Elephas maximus indicus: one gene and its partners. The protein of the gene in region 3 purifies or fractionates together with the protein of the main gene of each other region. This does not show direct contact. Links are inferred from orthologs where the notes say so. Each region holds a gene or a part of one and is shown on either strand. Other genes may lie near its edges.

Region 1 (7,782 bases), on a different chromosome or scaffold from region 3:
CAGCAAAAAATCTAATTGAACTGTGGTTCTCTTATTTTTAGAAAAGAGTACTCGATAAGCTTCAAGCATTTCATTTTTGTTTACACATTGTTCTCTAAGTAGTAAAATTACATAAGCTGAAAAGATTCTAATCCTGGTTTTTTTCACTATATGTGTAAAAAAAAAAAGTATATTAAGTTCTTTAAAGTAGTCTACCATGGCTACTTAGCCTCAGTTCTGTAATCAAATTGTTTAAGTACAAATCCTTGCTCTACCAAACACTATTAACCAGAAAACCCATTGCCACCATGTCAATTCCGACCCATAGTGACCCTACAGGACAGAGCAGAACTGTCCCATGGAGTTTCCAAGGAGCGGCTGGTGGATTCAAACTGCCAACTTTTTGGTTAACAGCCAAGCTCCAAAGAGCTGAGTATATTCCCTCCTCTGCAGTTCAGGAAGAGAAAACAGTATATACCTCACCAGTTTTCATGAGGATAAATTACTTAATACATGTTAAAAAATGAATGTAGGCATGTGTTGATCATTTTACAATGCAGGTAAAGTGATGGGCACATGGAGGTTCAGTATACTACTCTCACTCAGAAAATTAAGATTCCATAATAAACTTTTTAAAAAGTTTGAAATTGCACTGGCATACAATAACACTCAATAAATGATATTTTCATTACTCTGCTGGTTACTTGCAAAGATTAAAGGAGATAATACATGACAGTGTCCTGCACTGTGCCTAGAATAGTAAGAATTTAACGTAAGTTGTCATTTGACATCATCCTTCATAATCGGTATTCAGCATGTATTTGTCATTGGATTAGCTATCTTCTGATCATTTTGGACTTAATACTTAAGCATAAGTTACCACACTTATGACCAAGAAGACAGAGATCTGCAAGTTATAATGGTATCAACTCTCAATGGGCTCACAAAATACAATATGTCCAGAGTGCTGACTTCACTGATAGCTTGTTACTAGTTTCAGCTGAATGAAAGAAAATTTGACAGGTTTTTATCTTACTGTCTAGCTGATTACAGTACTGCCTTAATAAATTACAAGCATTAGATGGTAATTCTCAGTTAACACATTTAAGAACGACTCTTAAGTGAAGACAAATCCACATATTAGATAGACAACTGAGAGTATAAGAAGTAGGCTTCGTGCCCTTTTCCATAAACCTAAGACATGAATGAGATCTAACAACTCATGAACCCAAAGACTCAAAATTTGTTTCTCAAATCAGAAACAAAAATTAATGTTTCTATTTTTCTAATCCTTTCCATCACTGATTGTAAAAGGAGAATCAGACACAAACAAAAAATTAAGTCGTTTAATTTTTCTAATCCCTTAAATCAATTATCCATCGCAAAGGGAGAAAAAATGTTAAAAAGAAATAACTTCAACTCCCACTCTGGAACTCTAGAGGGCACCAGAAATATGCCCTCCTTCCCAGCACCCCTCCTCCTGGGTAAGGAGAGCAGCTGCAGGAACCCATCGTCTGGTTGCTGAGGTTGGTATTGCAGCAGGAGCAATGTCTGCAGCGATGCAAACAGCAGCGCCCACTGCAAGCTGCCCTACCAGCCATCACCCGGGCTTTGCCCCGGGGGCAGCTGCCATCCAAGGGAAAGCCCCTCCCCCTCAAAGCAACGGGGAGGGGCAAACCCCACTACTGAACTCTACAACGTGACGACGTCCACTAAAAATCAACAAATTCGGGGTAAAGGACTCACAATGGGAATGTTCTCCTCCTTACTTTCCACCAAAGATGCACCAAACAGGGTTGAGGCGATTTCTGGTCCTGGGTAAGAGGAAAGATGAAATATAGATCAAGAACAGCCAACCAGGTGGTAGCACCAAACCCTTTTCACCAGGAGGAGGCAGAGAAGGGAATAAGAGGTCAAGGATGTTCGGCCCTTTTATTATTACCCTCCACCCCACACCCCACGGTACCCTCCTATGTAAAGTGCAGCACACGACGTAAAATACATATTGGGGTTAAAAACCACGTTGAAGGCAAAATCTAGAAGGGGGTGCTGGAGGGCACCAAGCTTGCTCCTGGGGAAAGAAGGGGGGAAGGGCACGACGTAGCCCCGACGCCAGGAGGGGATTGTGTATTCCCCCCCCCTAAATTTGCCCACCCAGCATCTTCCACGACACTCTAGGAACCAATTCCGAGGTAAGGGGCGGGGGGAGGAATTCACGTCTCCACGGGGCCGATAATCCCCATATCTGCCCCAAGCAGTTGCCCTGGGCCTAAGGTTTGCCCCCCCTGCAGTCGGCGACCGGCAGCGCTGCCTCCTCGTCCGCCATTAGAGACCCAGCCAAACAATACGTGAGGACCGAGAGCGGCGCAGCACAGCGCCAGTGAGGAGCTGAGCAAAGCGGGGACCCGGCAGGGAGGAGGCGGCAGCCTTCGCCCCGAAAACTTGGGGACCGCTGGCTACGGAAGAGGCTGGGAGCGCAGCCCGGAGAGCGGGAGCGCGAACAGAGGCGCCCCTCCCCCGCCTACCCCCGCAGGAAAGAAAGGAAAAATACCTCAGCGACCTCCCCACGGCCGCAGCCCCGGGCCACCCCCGCCCCGAGCGACCCCCGCCTCACCCAGCCCTCCCGGCCTCGGCCTCGCCCTTGCCGCCCTTCGGGCCGCCCGGAGAGGCGCCGGTGACATGAGCGGCTCCCGGAGGAGCCCCCGAGGCCCCTGCGCGGCAGCGGCGACGGTGACCGCGCCGCTGGGCATTAATCCCGGGTGGGTGGGAGGCTCCGGAGACTGCCCTCACCCATCTCCGCCTCCCCAGCCGCCTCCGCCTCCGCCTCCTCCTTCGGAGGCTGCGCTGCTCCCAGCCACCCCCATTATCAGCGGACCTGGACTGGAAGACAGTGGGGCAAGCCTCACCCGGTTCTGGCTGCGGCTCCGCGGAGCGAACCTCCCCTCCCCCGGCCCACCCCCCTTCGATAACAAGCACAACTCCGCTCGGTCCAGTCCCGGGTTTAGCGCTGGTGAGGAGGAGGAGGAGGAGGCGGTGGCGGCACTGCCGAGCCCGTGGAGGCCCCGCCTCCGCACCCTCATTGGCTGGCGGTGAAGACGGGCCGCGGCACTCCCGGCACGTCAATTGGCTCGATCTGCCTTCCTTCAGGACCCCCCTCGATGAGGTGGTCCAAAGGGCTGTCCATCAGACACAGGCCACACCCCTCAGCCTTTCCATTCCACTCCCCACCGCCCCGTCCCTTCCCGGGCTGTCCCCTCCCCTCTGTATCCCGCCCCCATTCCACTGGGGCCGTCTGGGTCAGGCGGTCCCAAGCCTCGATGCCCCCTCTGCACCAGCTGCGGGCTGGCTCTCGGGGGCACTAACGGGCTCCCAAAGCCAAGGACAGCCCGAGAGACCGAGGCTGGAGCTGTCCTCCGTCGCTCGGGCCTGGGCACGCAGGCCGCTATAGCGGCCCAGAACGACTCTGCCCGAGGAGAGACCCAGCCTCGATGCCCCGAACGCCCTACCAGTCCTTTCCTTGGAGCCCCTGCAGGCGAGGGGCACGGTGGGGAAAACCTGGCGCCAGGCCGAATGAGGAACACAGGCCGAGGGCGTGGTGGGGTCCTGGGTACTCCGAGAAGAGTGGGAACCCTTCCACCCTCGCCTCGCCCCGTGGGGCAGAGTCCTCCACTCTCGTCATGGCTGCAGCAGGAGGAGACGACGTCCTCCATTTTGTCGGGACGCTGTGGGAACTTGGGACTAGTTCAACGCCAAGCCCCGTGGGGCTAGGGAGCTCGTTCCCGAGAACTCCCACCTGGGCTCCACCTTTCGGCCGGGGTAGCCGCCCCTGCCTCGAGGGTCGGCCCCTGAGGGGCCGAGGAGGGCAGGCGCGCTGGTGGAAGGACCCAGACGCCGCTCCCGCCTCCATCAACCAAGATGGAGGAAACTGCGGGCTCCCCTGGAGCTAGGCTCCCTTGTTGGAGGGGCTCCACTTAACCCTGCGTGTCCTTTTGCGCTGCCGACTTCCTCCCTCGCAGCCTCTGTCAAGTGGCCTCCCCCAGCCTCCACCCATCCTCCCAACAGCCTTCCACGGTCTCCTGGTCCTCAAGGTTGGTGGAAGCGCCATCGCTTCGCCACACCTGGGCCATCAGCCCTGCGGGAGGCGCCCCTCGCCCAGCAGCCGGAGGCAAGACGCAGGCCGCCGTTCACCCTGCGTAGATTGAGCGCAGATCCCGTCGACGATGGGCTCTCTTTTTTGTTCATCGTCTACACCTGCATCTTGGGCGGACATAATGGTGCTGTACGTTGGGCAAGATTCCACGTAGCGATTAAAAACATGCCTCTGTCGTCTCACCCTAGCGGTTGTTAGTGGGATTGCAACTGATGGTGTTGGGGAAATAAATGGATAGATGGTAAGGCTTCCCAATTGTAGGACTGCCTGACGCCGCCGCCTGTTAATAAATGGAGATGTGATGTTACAATTTAAAGTGCATTTGTGATAACATGGAGTTTTTAATGAAGTTAATCATCCATGAAGGACTCTATAAAGACTGATGTGTAAAGTCTAATAATAAGTGCCATTTACAGAGCATAATCTAGAAATTCACATTCGTTAGCTCATTATGAATACAAATTAATGTGAGACTATAGACTATTAAGTAGTCCTTACACCCGGGACAAAATACCGTAAGTATACTGCTCTTTTTTTTTAATTGCCAAAATCCACAACTCATATTTGCGCACAGCTTTTATACAATAGTATCTTTTTTCTGCAGATAAATTTCTTGCAATTGTAAAATTTTCGTTTTTCAATAAAATAAAATATCGTTGTAAATCTTATATTACACAATACTGTTTTACCTTGACATAATTTACATCAACTTCACAACAGAAACATCCTCTCACTATTTAAATAAGTTCAAGGCAATACTGTAATAATTCAGTGAAAAAAAACTTAACACCATCCCTTTTCCGTTACCATGTACTATTGCATAGCTTCAGCTCACTGAGTTTGTAGTAGGAAGAATTTGTTATGGATTGAACTGTGTCCCGCAAAAAATATGTGTTGTAAATCTCACCTCTGTGCCGGTGTTTATAATCCCATTTGGGAATGGGTTGTCTTTGTTAATGAGACAGGATTAGTGTAGGGTGTGTCTTGAGCCAATCTCTCTCTTTTTTTTTTTTTTAATTGTGCTTTAAGTGAAAGTTTACAGTTCAAGTTAGTGTCTCATACAAAAGTTTATACACATTGTTACGTGACCCTAGTTGTTTTCCCTATAATGTGACAGCACACTCCTCCTTTCCACCCTGGATTTCCTGTGTCCATTCAACAGGCTCTTGTCCCTTTCTGCCTTCTCACCTTGCCTCTGGACAGGAGCTGCCCGTTTAGTCTCCTTTATCTACTTGAACTAAGAAGCACACTCTTCACGAGTATCATTTTAAGAAGCACACTCTTCACGAGTATCATTTTATGTCTTATAGTCCGGTCTAATCTTGGTCTGAAGAGTTGACTTCGGGAATGACTTTAGTTTTCAGCTAACAAAGAGCCCAAGGGCCATGTCTTCCGGAGTCCTTTCAGTCTCAGTCAGACCGTTAAGTCTGGTCATTTTACGTGAATCTGAATTCTGCCCCACACTTTTCTCCTGCACTGTCAGGGACTCTCTGTTGTGTTCCCTGTCAGGGCAGTCATTGGTGGTAGCTGGGCATCATCTAGTTCTTCTGGTCTCAGGCTGATGGAGGTTCTGGTTTGTGTGGCCCTTTCTGTCTTTTGGGCTAATATTTTCTTGATGTCTTTGGTGTTCTTCACTGTTGTTTGCTCCAGGTGCTTTGGGACCAATTGATGCATCTTAGATGGCCGCTTGCTAGCTTTTAAGAGCCAATCTCTTTTGAGATATAAAAGAGATTAAACAAGCAATCAAAAGATGCAGAGATGGGGAAACAGATGCCAAGCCACCTTCATCATCCAGGAACAGATGTCAAGCCAGCTTGACTACCCTGGAACAAAGTTCAAAAGAGACAAAGGCCTTCCTCCAGAGCCGACAGAGAGAAAGCCTTCCCTGAGAGCTGGCGCTCTGAATTCGGACTTCTAGCCTCATAAAAAGCTGTGATAAAATAAATTTCTGTTTGTTAAAACCATCCGTGTGTGGTATTTCTGTTACAGTAGCACTAGATAACTGGCACAAGATTCTATAAAATAAACTCTGTCATAGACTTAAATGATAGATTGAGTGGCCACATGCTGTTCAATTTGAGAAAACTTTATACTGCTGGTGAAAATGGTTAATGTTACCAAGGCATCTGGTTCTCTGTTGTTGGTTGCTGGAGTCGATTACCGCTCATGACAACCCTGTGTGTGGAGTAGAACTGCTCCATAGTGTTTTCAAGGCTGTGAACTTTTGGAAGCAGATCACCAGGCCTTTCTTCTGAGGTGCCTCTTAGGAGATTAGAACCACCAGCTTTTCAACTACTAGTCAAGTGTTTAACCATTTGCGCCACCTAGGGACTCCTCTCAAAAATCAGACATAAAAAATCCCATGGAGCACAATTCCACTCTGATACAGATGGGATCACCATGAGTAGAAATAGACTCATCAGTAACTGGTAGGTTGGTTATACTGCTACCAATACCCTGGCATTTTTGCTGTTTTTATAATTGATTAGCAACAGCGATAGCAATCACAGTAGTTTTTTTTTTTTTTAATTTCTTCGTTCAGGTCCATATGTCCATGAAAACATTCACAGATTTGCTGCAATGATATTAAGGATAAGTTTTAGTTGAGAGTTTAGAACTACAAAAAAAAAAAAAATGTGTTTATGTCATAATTTAATTTGTTGCCACCACTGGTACAGTATACTCAATGCATGCTCAAAATTTAAATAAAAATGTTGCTTAATTTTACGTAAAGTACCTTTAAATATTAGAATGTTCATAGCATTATTCATAATTGCAAAAAGCATTATTCATAATTGAAAACAACCCACATGTCCATAAACTGATAAATGGATAAACTGTAGAATAGCTATATAATTAAATATTATTTAGCCATAAAAAGGAATGAAGTTCTGATACATGCTAGACATGGATGAACCTTGAAACCATTATACTAAGTAAAAGACGCTAGTCACAAAAGATCACACATGATACCATTTATATGAAATGTCCTGAACAGGCAAATCTATAGAGACAGAAAATAGATTAGTTGTTGCCTAGGACTTGGGAAGTGGGGATTGGGGCAAGATAGCTAAAGGATAAGTGGTTTCTTTTTAGAGTGATAAAAATGTTTTAAAATTGATTATAGTTATAATTGCATAACACTGAATATTCAAAAAAAGCATTGAATTGTACACTATGAATGGGTGAATTATATGGTATGTGAATTACATCTCAAAGCTTGCTAAATAAATATGTATATATATACATATCTATTACATATGTATATGTAGGTATGTGTATATATATGTACATGTATGTGTGTGTATGTGTGTGCATGTGTGTGTGTGTGTGTATATATATATATATATATAGTCTTCTCATCCCTTGAGGTCCCAGTGATTCCAGCAAACCACTTTTCACTTTTGTGTCTTATTATGAACTTTCCCTTCTTCCAAATTCCTGTGGCTTTAAAAATTCTTGCTGCTGTATTCTTAATAAAGATTGATATTCACTCTTCCTTGCCTGGCTCAAGCTGGAATATGGGGTCCATCATGTCCCGCATTTTATCTCCTTGTGGCATAGCATACCCAAGTGCCATCTAAGTTTCAGAGATAATCCCTGGAGAAAAGAAGCAAATTTTAAAAGAGAAAATGTATTACATGATTTCTGAG
Region 2 (7,794 bases), on a different chromosome or scaffold from region 3:
TTAATTATTTCATTAAGTGTAAAATTAATTTATCAGCAGCATGTAATTCAATTAGAAAACTATTAATCTGTTTATCCATAATATCACTTCACTGCTTTCTTTTGGGGAGAAAACAGCTGAATGGCTTATAATCTCCTAAAAACTAGTTTTTAAAAAGTTTTCTAAATGGAATTAATAATTATAAAGCATAGATCAGAATTTGAAATCTCATCTTTTTATCCTCTGTAAAATAAGTTGCTTGTATTGGCATCTGGGCACTGGGCAACAACGACTATATTTACCAAATTTCAAAACAGAAAACTAACAATTACCTAGTATTTTATTTACCTAAAGCTATTTGACCAGTTGTTTTGTTTTTAAAACCCTTAATACATCGGACGTTATATAAACACAGTAATAAACAGATAAGCTTACTTTTTGCATACCGACATCCAGAACTGGTTTAGTCACATAATTTTTTAAATGTCCTAGAATCTGGCAAGACCTTCCAAATATAGAAATTCAAAAAATTTAAGTTTGAAACACTTCAGAAAGTCAAATTGTAGCAGGAAATGTTTGGGTTAAGATTCAATTGAGTTAAATTACTAATATAATAAAGCAAAAATATCAAAACAACAAAATTATTAATAAGGTAACTAGAAAATTCTGGGAAATGCCTAGCAATCAAAAAAATTTTTAAGTATAAAATTTAGAATTTAATTCTGTTGAAATATTGAGTTACATTTTAGAAAGCAGTCTAAACTGGTGGCTAAAGAAAAATAGGGTGGAAACAAAATTCCTGTGGTTAAGGGTATATACAAATGCAAACGCCACTTACTCTTCCTCTGTGCTAAGCATGCAACATCATAGTTTTTATCAATGATCTAATAAATACAAACATTTTAAAGAAACATTTCCTCTGTGTTCATTAATAACAAGATCTTCACATCTTTATGTGGGTTTTTATCATTTAGTATTTTAAATAAGCATTTTACATTCTACTTTATTTCATAATGACTAAGGAGGGGAGAAAATTAAATGATCCTTTTCTAAAGTAAGGATAGAATATGAAGTTAGATATGAAAATACCATGTCACTTGAAGGAAAACATATCAAGACAAAATGTTATGAAATAAATTATTGTTCAAAGCTTATTTTAATACTACAGAAATGTTTATGGCTTAAATCACTTAGGAAAGTTTTTTTTTTTCTAATGTATATAATTTTTACATTGGCAAAATAACAAATGGAGTGGAATACTATTAGGGAGTTCCTCAGATTTTCAAATACAAAGTTCATTACTACAAAATACTTGCTAGTTAAGAACCAAGGAATTACGTAAAACTGCTAAGTTATAACTCGACGGCACTGGGTTCTGGGTTAAGTTATAGCAAATTTTAGCCAAATATTTCTTTAAGTTATTCTAGTATAAATTAACATTTACTAAGACCAAGGAAACGTACCTTTCGAGAATGCTTCAAAGAATGAGATGGTTCATCTGTGACATCTCTGTTGCCGTCTCTGGATAAATCACTAACTTTACCTACATTTCCAGTGGCAAACTTTATGTGTAATTGAGATGGTCCCCCCTTGGAACAACTGTGCTTAAGGCTGGATAAACAGGAAACGTTTGGATAAGTTCCTCCCAGTGAAATGCTCCTCTGTAAAGTAGCATGGTTTTTGTTTGTCTGTGAATTTGGTCTTTCCAACTGTCCACTGATATTTATTTGATAATCGGTACTTTGGTTGGGTTGTAGACAAGCAGATGTCCTATGCGTGAGCTTAGTATACTCTGTATCGGAATTTCGGTTCATTTCTGACATCTCTGGTTGACAGTCACCGTTTGCTGCTTCACAATCAAACGTAGTTGCTTTCTGTTGGGTGAAATGCACTGAAACACAAGAATATCCATCGGGTGACTCTTCGCAGACAGTCTGCTTTGGACTATTACTTGAAATAACCATTTTCTTTTGTAACGAGCCCTTTTTGTGAAGTGGCCTTATGTCTCTCCCTTCTCCAGGAGCACAAGTTGTTTTCGATAACCGCAGTCCATTGACAGCCGTTGAAAGAAATCCCTTAGCAGCAGTACCATCTTCAGTGTGCGCAATTTCACTGGGAGAAATAATAAACTGGTGTGAAGTCTGATAGGATCCTTTGCTTGAAAGAGTGCCTGTACTTGTTGGAGAAGTTGGTGGGGTATTTGAAGGACTCCTAGGAAAAACAACTAAGGAGGAACAACGTTTCAGTGGAATTTTGGAGTTCCTGCTCACCGGCAACTTCATAATCTCTATCCCATGGTCCAGGTCATCCTGGACAAAGGGAACTGTGCTCATACTTCTTGAGAAAACGTCACATGGAGTAGGGTTCCTGTCTGGCACACTCCTACTGGACGTGGTCTCAGAAGATAAGTTTCCACCAAAAAAAGGATCATCGCTTGGTGGAAAAGTACAGCTACTGCTGTCACTGATGACACTGTTAGTGTATGAGCCTCCACTCGTGATGCTTGTACACGACCCATAATCACTACCATTGCTGCTGTAAGACCCGTTATCACTGGCTAAAAAGTTACTAAGGCTACCACTACAAACAGCACTCAGTTCATGATCAACCACAGTATTGCTGTCAATGCCTTCCTTCAAGACACAAGTAAGGGAGGCGTCATTACCATCGGTTAAGACATTGCTAGACTGAAGACATCCACTGTACCTTGCTGGCTGTAGTGAAATCTGTAGACAGCTGCTCTTTTTATTAACATTTTCAGACGATCTTTCCTGAGACTTTACTAAAGGAGCCAGTGCAGCCTGTCGGGGAGTCAGCTTCATCTGAACCACGTTAGACGCTGAAATCCGTGTAGGTCTCCTGAAGCACATGTGAACATTGCTCTCCAAATCATCTCCGGAGCTTTCTGACAAAGGGTAAGTATTGCTTCTTCTGGCTGCAAAGTGCAATCGTAAGCTTTGTGCCATTTGTTCTCATTTCCAAGCATGTTAAGGGCTGAAAGTCATAACAAAGATCTCTGGCCGTAGACAGGCTAGAAGCAGCTGCACTGCATCGAAAGAAAAAATCATTTGTGGTATCTGAAAGAGTCTTAAGCAGCAGCCTTCACCCTTAGTAAAACGCTAGATACCAGATATCACAGAAAGAAAAAGACGACCCAGTCCTGAGAATGACGTTTCCAAAATGTCTTGAATCGCTTGTAGTCAAAACGCCTTCACTCACAAAGCACTTGATTTCCAGCGACCTTTAAGCTCAGCTCAGCTCAGCAGCAGCACACTGACTCAAACACTGCCAACCTTGTTTCAATTATACCTTCTCCAATTTGCATGAGTGAGTAACACAGGAACAACAATCTCCTAGCATTTCAAGCTGAAACAGTATGTTTTCCCTCCAGCTCTACTAAATGCACATTTAACGATTGGAACCACTGTGCCTGTACTTTCTCCGGCCGACTTTGGCCACTAATATTTTTACCCGTAGGTATAGAATTACAGGAAGTTGGTAGGAATGAAACCTCATGTAATTGAGTATCAAATCAAGGATTGAATTTCCAAATAGTTGCCATACTAGGAATCCGATCAAGTTAATGTAGAAGGGAATATATACAGTTAATTTTTTTACATGGTAAGTTCAAACAGTTCAAAATTTGGAAATACGAAAACTTTGGGGTGAAATAAAACTTTACCATTAAATCAAATAGACAAACAGTTTAGCTTCCAATTGCTAGTTATAAAAGCTGAAACTGTAAGGAACAGAACTACAAAATTAGCATAGTAATACTACTACAAACATTGAGCATGGGACCGAGGGAAAAAAAGTTTAAGAGAAACTGTCACCAAGCATTTTCTCCTGTAATCTTAAGGCCTTTTCCAGCCAAGTAGCACAGTCTTTAAACGATGCCATTTATATTTTGACTATTAAAACTCTGCCAAGAAATAGGCTAAGCAAACATTCCATTAAAAATACATGCAGATTAGGCAGAAAAACTATACGCCCATATAGCTGGAGCACATAGAATATTTTATTCCACTGTCTCTGCAATTCATTCAGCTAAGAGAGGGCTGTGGTAAGAAAGAAGTCTAAAAAAGATTTAACACATCAAATAAACATATCTCAGCGCCAATTCTGTTCTGAAGAACTGGAAGAGCCCTTTGCTGGCCCCTGCTGGTGCTTTGAAACCATCCTTCTAGCTGTTAGATATCGCCGAAGAAATACAAGCCACGCTGCATATTTCTTTAGATAAACAAAGTGCATATTTGTTTACATTTTTGAGTACCAAGCACTGCCCTCGAGGTGGAATTACTTACTACTACCGATAAAGCTCCTACCACGGAAAACAGTAGACTGTTTGTCCTCTTAGATGTTGTGATTTTTGTACATATGCTTTTTTTTCTGTTTTGTATTTATTTAACCTTTCATTTATTTTCAGTTTACTAGGTAATAAAAGTTTAATATTTTAATTTTTCCCCCAAATGTCGTTGACCAAGGTTGGTATTCTACTTGAAAGAAACAAATTTATTTTTAAATAATACTCTAGGGTATATTTAAACCCCTTACCTGAATTTTATAGTTGGAACTCCAGTAATAAATATATACTGGCTCATTCATAGGAAAGTGAAAAGTAAAATAGTTCCGTTGTTTATACCACATGGTACTACACCCAAGCTGTATTTTTCTAAGTAAGTTTTTTTCCTAAGCAAAAGCAAACATATAAAACATATACTTGTACCTTGTTTTTTTTTTAAAAAACTGCTTACGATAAATCTGCTTTCAATCACAATTTTCTGAACAGTGTTTTTAATTAGTTAAGACTTGACAAACTAGAAATATGGGAATTTATTATAGTTCTGACAAGAATGAGATAGTACTATATTTTAGAAAGTGTACAGTAGTTACAAAGTTAGCGATAAAGTTCATGTTATTTTGGTTTCATATAGCCTCCCTTACGATTATACAGACTTCTGCAAATATTCTCCTATCATCCTTTTTCTTTATAGAAGAAACAGTCAATCTTTTTACTTTGCCTTCAAGTGACTTCAGCTTTCCTTTTTGGGTTAAGTTAGAGGTCTAACGACTCAAAGAACAGATTATTTTTAGACGACTAGTCAAAAGAGATCTAACCACTCGTGTCTCTGGCCTAAAGTGTCCAGTCAATAAGCAAAGCTCCCCTGACAGTTAATATAAAATTATGAACCCATGTATGTGACCAGATGAATGTCTTCTCATTGGTAAGCTTCGCTGTAAGCATTAGTTTCATGTCCCCTAACTAGATTTTAAAGCTTCCAGAATGTGAGGACCACAACTGTACATTTCTTCTGACCTCTTGGGCTCATGTCAGGCAGACTCAGCACTAAAGAACCAGAGAGAAGGCTGAGTGGATGGACGGTCATGCAGTCACTCTGACTGCCCAACACTGCCTTTCAGGTTTTGTGTTATTTTTTTAACTTAAGTTGATCCAGCTGCTACTTGTAAAGAAATATTAAAAAACACTGCAGCTGGATAAGAAGGAGTGATGCTTGAAAATTTTGGAGAAAGGAACCCAGCCAAGGAAAGGTAAGAGAAATACATGCATTTCCTAGAAACCCAGTCTGAGTTTAAATTCTAGAGAGGTTGAACAGCCTGCACTGTGGGCTGAGGTCTGGGATCGTACAGGATCTGTAGAACCATCACAGCAGCTGCCATGTGGAGCCTGGTGAACCTAGGGTAAAACGTAGGCCCTTAGCCCAGCAGCTGCCATGTGGAGCCTGAGGGACCTAGGATAAAATGTAGGCCCTTGCCCCAGCAGCTGCCATGTGGAGCCTGAGGAACCTGGGGTAAAATGTAGGCCCTTACCCCAGTAGCTGCCATGTGGAGCCTAGGGAGCCTGGGGTAAAATGTAGGCCCTTAGCCCAGGAGTTGCCATGTGGAGCCTGGGGAACCTGGGGTAAAATGTAGGCCTTTAGCCCAGCAGTTGCCAAAAGAAAAGCCTCAGCCCTCACTCAGGTGAGAAAGAGCTAGAGAGTAGAAGCTTAGAGGTAGCCCCTTATAGCAGGAACCTATGCAAGGCCTATAGAATTTCATATTCTGGAATTAAAAGGATAATGTCTCAGGATTAGATGGAAGCTTATGGCCCACATTCTGAGATATTTTGGTTATTATTATTTGCACACACAGAAAACAATGTGATTGCATACATGGTGTGGGTGGGCTCTGAGTAACCCTAACCACTGACTAGAGCTTTGAAGGCTAGAGACCATTAAACCTGAGAAGCACAGCATCTCCACTCAAGACAAAGCAGTCTGCTAAATCCTTGGTGGCTAGATGTGTGCATATAGAACTTTAGGTCGGTGAACAGAGGCACCAACTTTTGCACTGGTGGGTAAAATCTTCTTAAAGGCATACCACTCTGAAACATTCCAACACTGTCCACACCACCACCACGACCCACCAAGCCACTACTACAGCTTATAGTTCTCGGTATTAAACTGGCTGAAAAAGAGGGTCTATAAGCCACCTCTTTCTCAAAAGCAAATATCAGTTATATTGTAAAACTTTTCCAGATGACAAGAAATGGTTTCTGCTTAGATTTCTAACTGCGCCGTCTCCTTCCATTTCCCAGGAGAATTTGCTAAGAAAAGGATGTGTCCCTAATTTAGCTGTGAACGCTACAGGAGAATAAAGGTAGAATGACATCACAGTGCACAGGCCAGTCACTGCTGGAGAATCACGTCTCACTCCACCAACAGCTATAACCAAAAACCAAACCCGCTGCTGTCAAGTCGATTCCGATTCACAGTGACCCTACTGGACAGAAGAGAACTGCTCCACAGGATTTCCAAGGAGCAGCGGGTGGATTCGAACTGCCGACCTTTTGGTTAGCAGCCGAGTGCTTAACTATAGCCACAGTTTCTATGATATCTCAGTGACCTACACATTTCAATTACCTGCTAGAACTAGCAACAAATCAAAGGACCAGAACGACACACACCACTCTGTTCTAATTGTCTCTTGCTCCCTTTGGCTGGTAAAGTGAGCTTCTTGAGAAAAGTAGCTGTATTTCTAATGCATAGCAGTCATCTAACTCAGTAGGTACACTAAAAGGCAACCTCAGTTAATACAAAAATATGGCATCAGAGAGCCATAAACACATGTATCCACAAATGTTAAATAACACTTCATATTTGTATCATGAATAATTTTCTGAGCGCTTTCATAGCTGCTGTCTCATTTTAAACTTAACAATAAATTTATGATAAGCAGGGCAAATACTGTTATCCCTGATTTTTAAACACGAGAAACTATTTTCAGAGGGACTGAATGACTTGCCCAGGGTTACAAGCTAACATGCCAGAGCAGACGCAGGGTTACAACAGGGCTGCTGACTCCTTGGTGTGGAGATAGACAATATCATGATTAATGCATTTTTTTTTGTTTTTGCTTTTACTTAAAAGTTTTTTTTTTAATTTTTGTTATATTTACCAATCTGGAAACATCCAATCGTTAACATCAGAGTAACTTTTTTTTTTCTTCCAACTCATCAAAAACTAAAAAATCAAACCCTCTGCCATCGAGTCAATTCTGCCTGACTCACAGCAACCCTCTAGGACAGAGTAAAACTGCCTCATAGGGTCTCCAAGGCTGTAATCTTTACAGAAGCACAGTGCCACATCTTTCTCCCACAGAGCAGTTGGTAGGTTAGAACTGCAGACCTTTTGGTTAGCAGCTGAGCACTTAACCACTGTGCCACTAGGCTCCTTTCCAACTAAAGGACACTACTAAATTTATAACAAATGCTCAACAAATGTTAATGTACCAATCAGTAAATGACAAATATCAATT
Region 3 (7,838 bases):
CCGCGCACACACTTCCCCCAGGAGATCATACCCATTCACCCACAGAGCCACACACACCACCACTGTGACACCAACAAGCTAGGTATACCCGGGTGTCCACCAATAGCAGAGGACCCAGCTCCCAGCATCAGGTAAATGAGTTATGCGCACCTGACCCCAGAAAAGCCAACCAGATAAAAACACCAACATGCCAAACCCCCATGCCAAGAGCCCCGTTTTACACACACACCAAGGTCCTACGGGACACCCTGCTGAACAAGCAGCCCTACCTGTTGTCCTGTGGTGGAACCTGCCCTGCTGTCCTCTCTCCCCTGCTAGGGGAAAAATGGGGGGGTGTAGGGCAAAGGCAAAGGTCTTTCCCACAGAAGGCCTGCTGCTTCCTCAGGTCAGCCTGGGAGAATCCCCAGGGAGTCAGTTTTCACTGCTCTGGGTCCATTGCAGTGGCCACAGTTTTCCCTGCCCAAACCGCTGGATTAATCGGGTTCCTGCAACATGGTCCTGCTCAAGAAATGAGGGGGACCTATCGGAGGTTTTAGGAGGGGTCTTTGCTCTTAGGGGGAACACAGATTTTGGAGACTAGATGCCAGGGACTACTGCAGCCTCTTCAGGATGACACAGCTGGCCTAAGAAAACCAGCCACTCTGCTGAGGGTGGTGGCAAAGGGGGCAGGAAACCAGGCCTGAGACCCCAGTAAACTGTCCTTCAGGGGTGGTGGCAGGACTGGGCGATTCAGTGGCAGTTACTGCATCGAAGAGCCAGACTTCCTCTGCCTTTTTGATGATAACGGTTAAGTCACTCTTCACTAGTGACCCTGCAGCCCTGTTGCCCCTACCCAGCAAAGGGAGTTAAGCATCTGCTCCAGGAGGCACGCGGCGTCCTCGCACCGAGCCACGCCATCTAGCCTTTAAGTGTTCCCTGACAGTATAGGGTTATCACGAGAGATTGCACCAACCCGGCAGGTGTCTGTTGGTGGAGAGCGCTGCAGCCTTTCTGAAAGGTTTGCCATCACTCTGACTCTTTTGATCTCGATGTTGCTTGTGTCACAAGAGTTGCTCCTGGAACACCTGCTTTCCTCTTGACCCAGTCCTCCCACCTCCCAGGTAGCGATGAGGATTAATTACCCAAACATGGAGAGTGGGTAGAATAGCAAGTGTCCCACGAAGGGAGCTCGGGGAAGACTGGCGGTGCTGGGGGCATCCTCCCTTGCCCACCCCGAGAGCCAGAATTTGGGCAGCCCCCACCTGACCAACTACCAACCTTGGGTAGGGTCTGGCCTGGGCTCCAAGAGCAACTCCTTCTGCAGCACCATCAGGGCCATTCATTCAACAAGCATTTAGTGAGCAACTCGGAGCCCCCACCCTGCAGGCATCCGGCTCTCCCTTCCTTGATGTTTCTCCTGGGACAGAGGGCCTCACCACGACCTCACTGGCACTGAGCAGGCGCTCAAGAGGCATCAAGCGAATGAGGGAAAAACAGGTGGCCCTCCCCTTTGCATACCAGGAAGTATCAGAGGAAGTCCGAAGTGGCCTCAGCACCTGGTGCTCCACCGGGTCTTCTGTAGCCGAAATAATCAGGTTTCTGGCCCGATTGGGAGTCCTCCTCCTCCTCCCCCACTCAGAGAGCACCGGCTGCCACTTTTGCAGCTTTCTGTGGCCCCAAGTAATTCACCTTCACCCTACCCCAGGACCCCACACAGGGCCCAGATGGCCCCTTGACTGTGGTCAGCCAAGAGCCTTCCACTCCCATCCCCCAGATCTCACCTGGCATGGCTCTGTGCATGTGCCCTTGTGCGTGCGCCCCAGCGGGTAGCCCCACTGCCTCTGGCCCTGTGGTAACTGCCACCCCAAACTCCCAACTCCTGCCAGGGAAGTAGTTAGGGAGACATCAGATCATAACGACGAGACCCAACAGGGCTGGGAGCCTCACACCACATGGTGGCAAGGGCCACACGGAGGTCCAGATGGGCCAACTGCCCCAGGAGGCTCTGAGAGTAAGTGAAGGTGGAGAGAGCCATGCAGGGATGCCCAAGCTACCCTCGGCTCAGGCCAGAATCAGGCAGCCAGGGCCACAGGTGCACCCTCTTGGCGGCAGCTCTGCCCACCCTGCCCTCAGGGCCTGGTACAGGGCCGCAGTTTGGATGGGCAAACAAGGCCAGCACCTCCAAGAGCCCTAGCAAGGGCTGCCGCGGCAACCCAATCCCTAGTCCCAAAGTCCCAGATGTCTGTGAAAGAGGAGACAGCACCGCCACAGGGACTGGCCTGGAGGGCTCAGGTTCAGCTCCCTGGTGCCAGGCTGCGCCAGAGGCCAGGGGGAGGTGGGCATGGGCGAGGTCCTCCCAGTTGGCAGGGGAAGCCAGGGCAGGAGTCAAGGAGGGCCCTGCGGGAGGCCGCACATTCGGGGCAGGACTGTCCTGGAAAAGAGGGGCCTGAGCAAGATCCTGGGCGGGCAGGCTAGGGAGCCGGAGAGTGAGCCAGGTTACAGGTGAGGAGGCCCAAAAGATGCGGGTGGCAGCAGACCTTAAGTGCCCCGACAGGGAAACCCCAAGCGGAAATGAATCAGAGTGACCTTAGGCCAGATGGGGAGCCTCCACACCCCAGCCCGCGGCTCTGGCCGCCCCCGGGCAGCAAGGAGAGGAAGAGGCAGATGCGGCGGGCTGGGCCACCGGGGTCTCCCCGCCCCGCCCCGCCTGGCGGCAGCCCCCGGCCAAACACCCGGCGGTCTGCGCGGGGCGGCCGGCCACACCCGAGCCGTCCCCCCGGCTGGCGCTCAGGCCGGGGCAGGGCGGCGCATCCGCAACGCGCGTCCCCGGCCGGCAGGCACCGCCGCCGCTTCCGGGGTCCCGGGCGCCCCGCCCAGCCGCCCCAGGTGCGGACGCGACCACCTGAGGCCGCCCGGCCCACCCGCGAGGGGACCCCCGCAGCCCCGCCGGCCGGTGCCCACCTCGGAAGGGCAGAGGCGCGCCCAGGCGCACGCACACGGCCCCGACCAGCGGCTCCCCCGGGCTGTAGACGACGCGGCCATGGCTCAGGCGGATCTCGAAGAGCTGCAGGCGCCCCATGCTGCGAGCCCGCGCCGGGCCGGCAGCGCACTACAGCCCGCCGCCCGGCAGCGCTCCGAGGCCGCCGCCCCGCCGCCCGCCCGCCCGCCCGCCGACCCGCCCCCGGCCCGGGCCGAGCTCAGCAGCTTTGCGTCCGGCGCGGCTGGCGGGGTTGGGCGCACGGGCGCCCCCTGCTGCCCCGGGAGGCGCGGCCGGCTCACCTGTCGGGGGCGGGGCCGCTGGGGGCGGGGTCGCTGGGCGGGACCCGGGGCGGGGCCGCGGGGCGGGGCGTACGCTCGGCTCTCGGCCCCAGACGCGCCCCGAGCTGCGCAACTGGAGCCTCCCCGCGGCCGCAGCCGGCGTGCGCCGCCCGCCCCTCCCCAGCTGCCGCTCGGGACCCTCGCGCCCCGCCCCGGGCCCCGCGAGAATAGACGGAAGCGCGTCACGGAAGGCCGGGGGTGTCCAGAGGACGCCGCGCGCGGGGGAGGACGGGCCGCCGGGATCCGCGATCGCCGCCCCGGCCCTGACGCCCGCGGACCTCTCCCTCGGGCGACCCCGTAACCGCGCCCCCGGGCACCTCGCCGACCCTTACCCCGCTCCCTGGCGACCCCACCCCGGGCACCTCGCCGACCCTTACCCCGCTCCCCGGCGACCCCACTCCGGGCACCTCGCCGACCCTTACCCCGCTCCCCGGCGACCCCACCGCGGGAGGCCCTGCGACCCCACCCCGGACACCTCGCCGACCCTTACCCCGCTCCCCGGCGACCCCACCGCGGGAGGCCCTGCGACCCCACTCCGGGCACCTCGCCGACCCTTACCCCGCTCCCCGGCGACCCCACCCCGGGCACCTCGCCGACCCTTACCCCGCTCCCTGGCGACCCCACCCCGGGCACCTCGCCGACCCTTACCCCGCTCCCCGGCGACCCCACCGCGGGAGGCCCTGCGACCCCACCCCCGGCACCTCGCCGACCCTTACCCCGCTCCCCGGCGACCCCACCCCAGGAGGCCCTGCGACCCCACCCCCGGCACCTCGCCGACCCTTACCCCGCTCCCCGGCGACCCCACTCCGGGCACCTCGCCGACCCTTACCCCGCTCCCTGGCGACCCCACCCCGGGCACCTCGCCGACCCTTACCCCGCTCCCCGGCGACCCCACCGCGGGAGGCCCTGCGACCCCACCCCGGACACCTCGCCGACCCTTACCCCGCTCCCCGGCGACCCCACTCCGGGCACCTCGCCGACCCTTACCCCGCTCCCCGGCGACCCCACCCCGCTCCCCGGCAGACCCCTCCCCGGGCACCTCGCCGACCCTTACCCCGCTCCCCGGCGACCCCAGCCCCGGCACCTCGCTGACCCTTCCTCCGCTCCCCGGCGGACCCCTGTCCGGGCGCCCTACTGACTCTTGGCCAGCGTCCCCCTCTTGCCAGAGGCTTTGAGGTCGCTTGTCCCGCAGGTGTGCCAGCCGAGCCTGCTGTGTGCACCGCGCTGCCTAGCCTTGGAGGATCCAGCCCTGAAGCTATGGGCGCACCTGAGCAGCAAGTGCCAAGCCCGGGGGCAGGGAGGGCGCCGGGGTCCGAAGCTGTAGGGACAGATGACCTCGCTGCCACATGGGGGGATGGTGCGGATGGCTTTGAGACAAGGAGGACCAGAATCTGGTTTGTTTTTGTTTGTGTTTTAAATGCAACTGCACATTTATTCATATGTGCAAAACATGTTTCTGCAGAATATATTGGGCGCCCTGTCCCTCCGGCTCCTGGCCCTAGTTAAGGCCTTCCCTCATCAGTTACTACTCTAGGCTACATGATTAATCCTTACTTTGTTTTCCTTCAGAACACATAAAGGCTCTCCAAAATTTGAGTCTGATAGGGTACTAAGTGAATTGCTTAAGCAAAACAGTTGTTTAAGTTTTACATATATTTTGTCATTCTGTTTTTTTGTAGTTTTGTTTTTTCGTCAGAGCTGAATAATATTGGTCATTATGAAGATTATACATAATGAAACTCATCTTGGTTTGGAAAAATAGAACCATGCAAATCAAAGAGAATCTAAAACAAACACCCCTGCTGATAGAGGTCTACTGACTCCAAAAGTTGGGCTGGAATACTCTTTGTTTACTAACAACCCAAGTCTTTTAAACTACTTCTGTAGAATTTTTTCTCAGCTTGCTTTGCGCAGGAAGCTTATCAGTAGAGAAGGACACTCAGCCGGGGGAATTCACTTCCACTCTTCCAAAGTGGAAACCCTGGTGGCTTAGCGATTAGTAGCTCGGCTAGATCATGATTTCCAGTATTGTGTGATTGTCCACCGTTTTCTCATCTGGTGTGATTTTCCTCTGTGTTGTAAATCCTACTTCTTTGATGTTAATGAGGCAAGACGCAATCTACAAGATTAGATCTTGTCTTAAGCCAATCTCTTTTGATATATAAAACAGAGAATCAAGCAGAGACATCGGCACCTCATACCACCAAGAAAGCACAGCCAGGAGTACTGCACATTCTTTGGACCTGGAGTACCTGTGATGAGAAGCTCCTAGTCCAGGGGAAGACTGATGAGAAGGACCTTCCCCCAGAGCCAATAAGAAACAGAAAGACTTCCCCTGGAGCTGTTGTTGTTAGGTGCCCTCAAGTTGGTTCCAACTCATAGCGACCCTAGGCAACAGAACGGAACACCGCCCAGTCCTGCACCATCCTTACAATCGTTGTTATGTTTGAGCTCATTGTTGCAGCCACTGTGTCAATCCACCTCATTGAGGGTCTTCCTCTTTTCTGCTGACCCTGTACTCTGCCAAGCATGATGTTCTTCTCCAGGGACTCATGCCTCCTGACAACATGTCCAAAGTATATAAGATGCAGTCTCGCCATCCTTGCCTCTAAGGAGCACTCTGGCTGTACTTCTTCTAAGACAGATTTGTTCGTTCTTTCTGCAGCCCGTGGTATATTCAATATTCTTCGCCAACACCACAATTCAAAGGCATCAATTCTTCTTCAGTCTTCCTTATTCATTGTCCAGCTTTCACACGCACATGAAGCGATTGAAACTGCCATGGCTTGGGTCAGGCGCACCTTAGTCTTCAAGGTGACATCTTTGTTCTTCAGCACTTTGAAGAGGTCTCTTGCAGCAGATTTACCCAATGCAATGTGTCTTTTTTTTTCTTGACTGCTGCTTCCATGGCTGTTGATTGTGGATCCAAGTAATATGAAATCCTTGACAACTTCAGTCTTTTCTCCATTTATCATGATGTTGCTCACTGGTCCAGTTGTGAGGATTTTTGTTTTCTTTATGTTGAGGTGTAATCCATACTGAAGGCTGTGGTCTTTGATCTTCATCAGTAAGTGCTTCAAGTCTTCTTCACTTTCAGCAAGGAAGGTTGTATCATCTGCATAACACAGGTTGTTAATGAGTCTTTCTCCAATCCCTATGCCCCTGAATTTGGATTTCTAGCCTCCTAGACTGTGAGAGGAAACCCTGGTGGCATAGTGGTTTAAGAGCTACAGCTGCTAACCAAAAGGTCAGCAGTTCAAATCCACCAGGAGCTCCTTGGAAACTCTATGGGGCTGTTCTTTGTTAAAGCCATCCACTTATGGTATTTCTGTTATAGCAGCACTAGATAACTAAGACAGCTACTAAATTTTAGAGTAGCTTGCTATGCAGTGATAAAAACTGAAATAGAAATTGGTACTTACAAGTGAGAAACTACCATAACAAAATATTAAATGTAGCATTGACTTTCGGGCCAGGCAGCAGGAGGGTGCTGGAAGGTCCATGAGCCTGCTACTGTAGGCTGGAGAAACAGTGAACCATGTTATCTCTTGGTGGAAAAATTGGTGAGACTGTGTCATGGATTGAATCGTGTCCCAGAAAAATATATGTCAACTTGGTTAGGCCATGATTCCCAGTATTGTTAAATCCTAAACCACTCTATGTTAATGAGGCAGGATTAGCGTGGGCTGTATCTTGAGTCACTTGCCTGTGCTAAAGTCACACCCTTGCTTGAGTCACATCTTTTATAAGATAAAAGGAGAGAGAAGGGAGTAGAGAAGAGAGGGACCTCACTACCAGCAAGAAAGAAGAGCCAGGAGTAGAGTGTGTCCTTTGGACCAGGGTACCTGTACCATGAACCTCCTAGACTCAGAAAGATTGATGCTAAGACACGTGGAGATCTCTAAGGAATGCTGGGCCCACAGATGTTGAAAGGAAACAAGGACCTTCCCCCAGAGCCGACAGAGAAAGCCTTCCCCTAAAGCTAGTGTCCTGAATTTAGATTTTTAGCCTCCTAACCTGTGAAAGAATAAACATCCACTTGCGGGTGTTTCTGTTATAGCAGCACTAAATAACTAATACAGACTGGTAACATGGAAGACAGAAAATGTACCTAATTAACTTGTGGGCTGATTAAGGAGATTCCCTAGCAGAAGTTTCAAAGGGCCAGTTGGCTTCTTTCAGCCGTTCATGATAAAGTGGGAGAAAGACAAGAGAGATGAATTAAAAAAGGAAAAGTTCAAGCAGAAGTTAAAGAGTTCCAACACAGGTCTTGTTGAGTTGGGGAGGGGAAAAAAAGCACCCTCACTCTCAGCCCCTCCAGGTAGCGAAAGGTTCTTAAGAAATGGCCTCAGAGTAAATATCAAATTCAGGGTACTGGCATTAAAATACAACCTCAGGGGTAAAAATCAAGCGTGTGGCTATAATATCCCTTGCTAAAACCTCTGAAATATTTCCGGGTCCCCCTAGGCCCTTGAAGACATACAAAAGGGCTTCTAAAAATCTTAAGAGTCATTGTCCCACAGCCTCTGGTTTGTAGCTTA

Evidence for each region. Proteins that work in one complex are often made in the same cells at the same time.
Region 1: the proteins of ARRDC1 (region 3) and ZMYM2 purify together in Homo sapiens (affinity purification with mass spectrometry; 3 studies listed by BioGRID and IntAct, counting the BioPlex papers as one, with this or other methods). This does not show direct contact. The link is inferred for Elephas maximus indicus from reciprocal best matches to the Homo sapiens genes ARRDC1 and ZMYM2.
Region 2: the proteins of ARRDC1 (region 3) and NEDD4 purify together in Homo sapiens (affinity purification with mass spectrometry; 3 studies listed by BioGRID and IntAct, counting the BioPlex papers as one, with this or other methods). This does not show direct contact. The link is inferred for Elephas maximus indicus from reciprocal best matches to the Homo sapiens genes ARRDC1 and NEDD4.

Annotation. Positions count from the first base shown.
Region 1 is NC_064841.1:49,337,142-49,344,923, reverse strand, and holds the start of ZMYM2 (zinc finger MYM-type protein 2), read right to left. Parts: upstream 2,333-7,782; intron 1,794-2,332; 5' UTR 1,726-1,793; intron 1,639-1,725; coding exon of another isoform or gene 1,539-1,638; intron 1-1,538. Other genes in the region: uncharacterized protein LOC126066247, read left to right, coding at 1,539-1,638, 2,333-3,068, 3,315-3,747. UniProt on the Homo sapiens protein: Involved in the negative regulation of transcription.
Region 2 is NC_064831.1:46,258,107-46,265,900, forward strand, and holds the start of NEDD4 (E3 ubiquitin-protein ligase NEDD4), read right to left. Parts: upstream 3,024-7,794; 5' UTR 2,946-3,023; coding exon 1,443-2,945; intron 1-1,442. UniProt on the Homo sapiens protein: E3 ubiquitin-protein ligase which accepts ubiquitin from an E2 ubiquitin-conjugating enzyme in the form of a thioester and then directly transfers the ubiquitin to targeted substrates. Specifically ubiquitinates 'Lys-63' in target proteins.
Region 3 is NC_064827.1:661,512-669,349, forward strand, and holds the start of ARRDC1 (arrestin domain-containing protein 1), read right to left. Parts: upstream 2,941-7,838; intron 2,933-2,940; exon of another isoform or gene 2,411-2,932; 5' UTR 1,007-2,410; coding exon 953-1,006; intron 392-952; coding exon 270-391; intron 1-269. Other genes in the region: basic proline-rich protein-like, read left to right, coding at 3,057-4,472. UniProt on the Homo sapiens protein: Functions as an adapter recruiting ubiquitin-protein ligases to their specific substrates. Through an ubiquitination-dependent mechanism plays for instance a role in the incorporation of SLC11A2 into extracellular vesicles.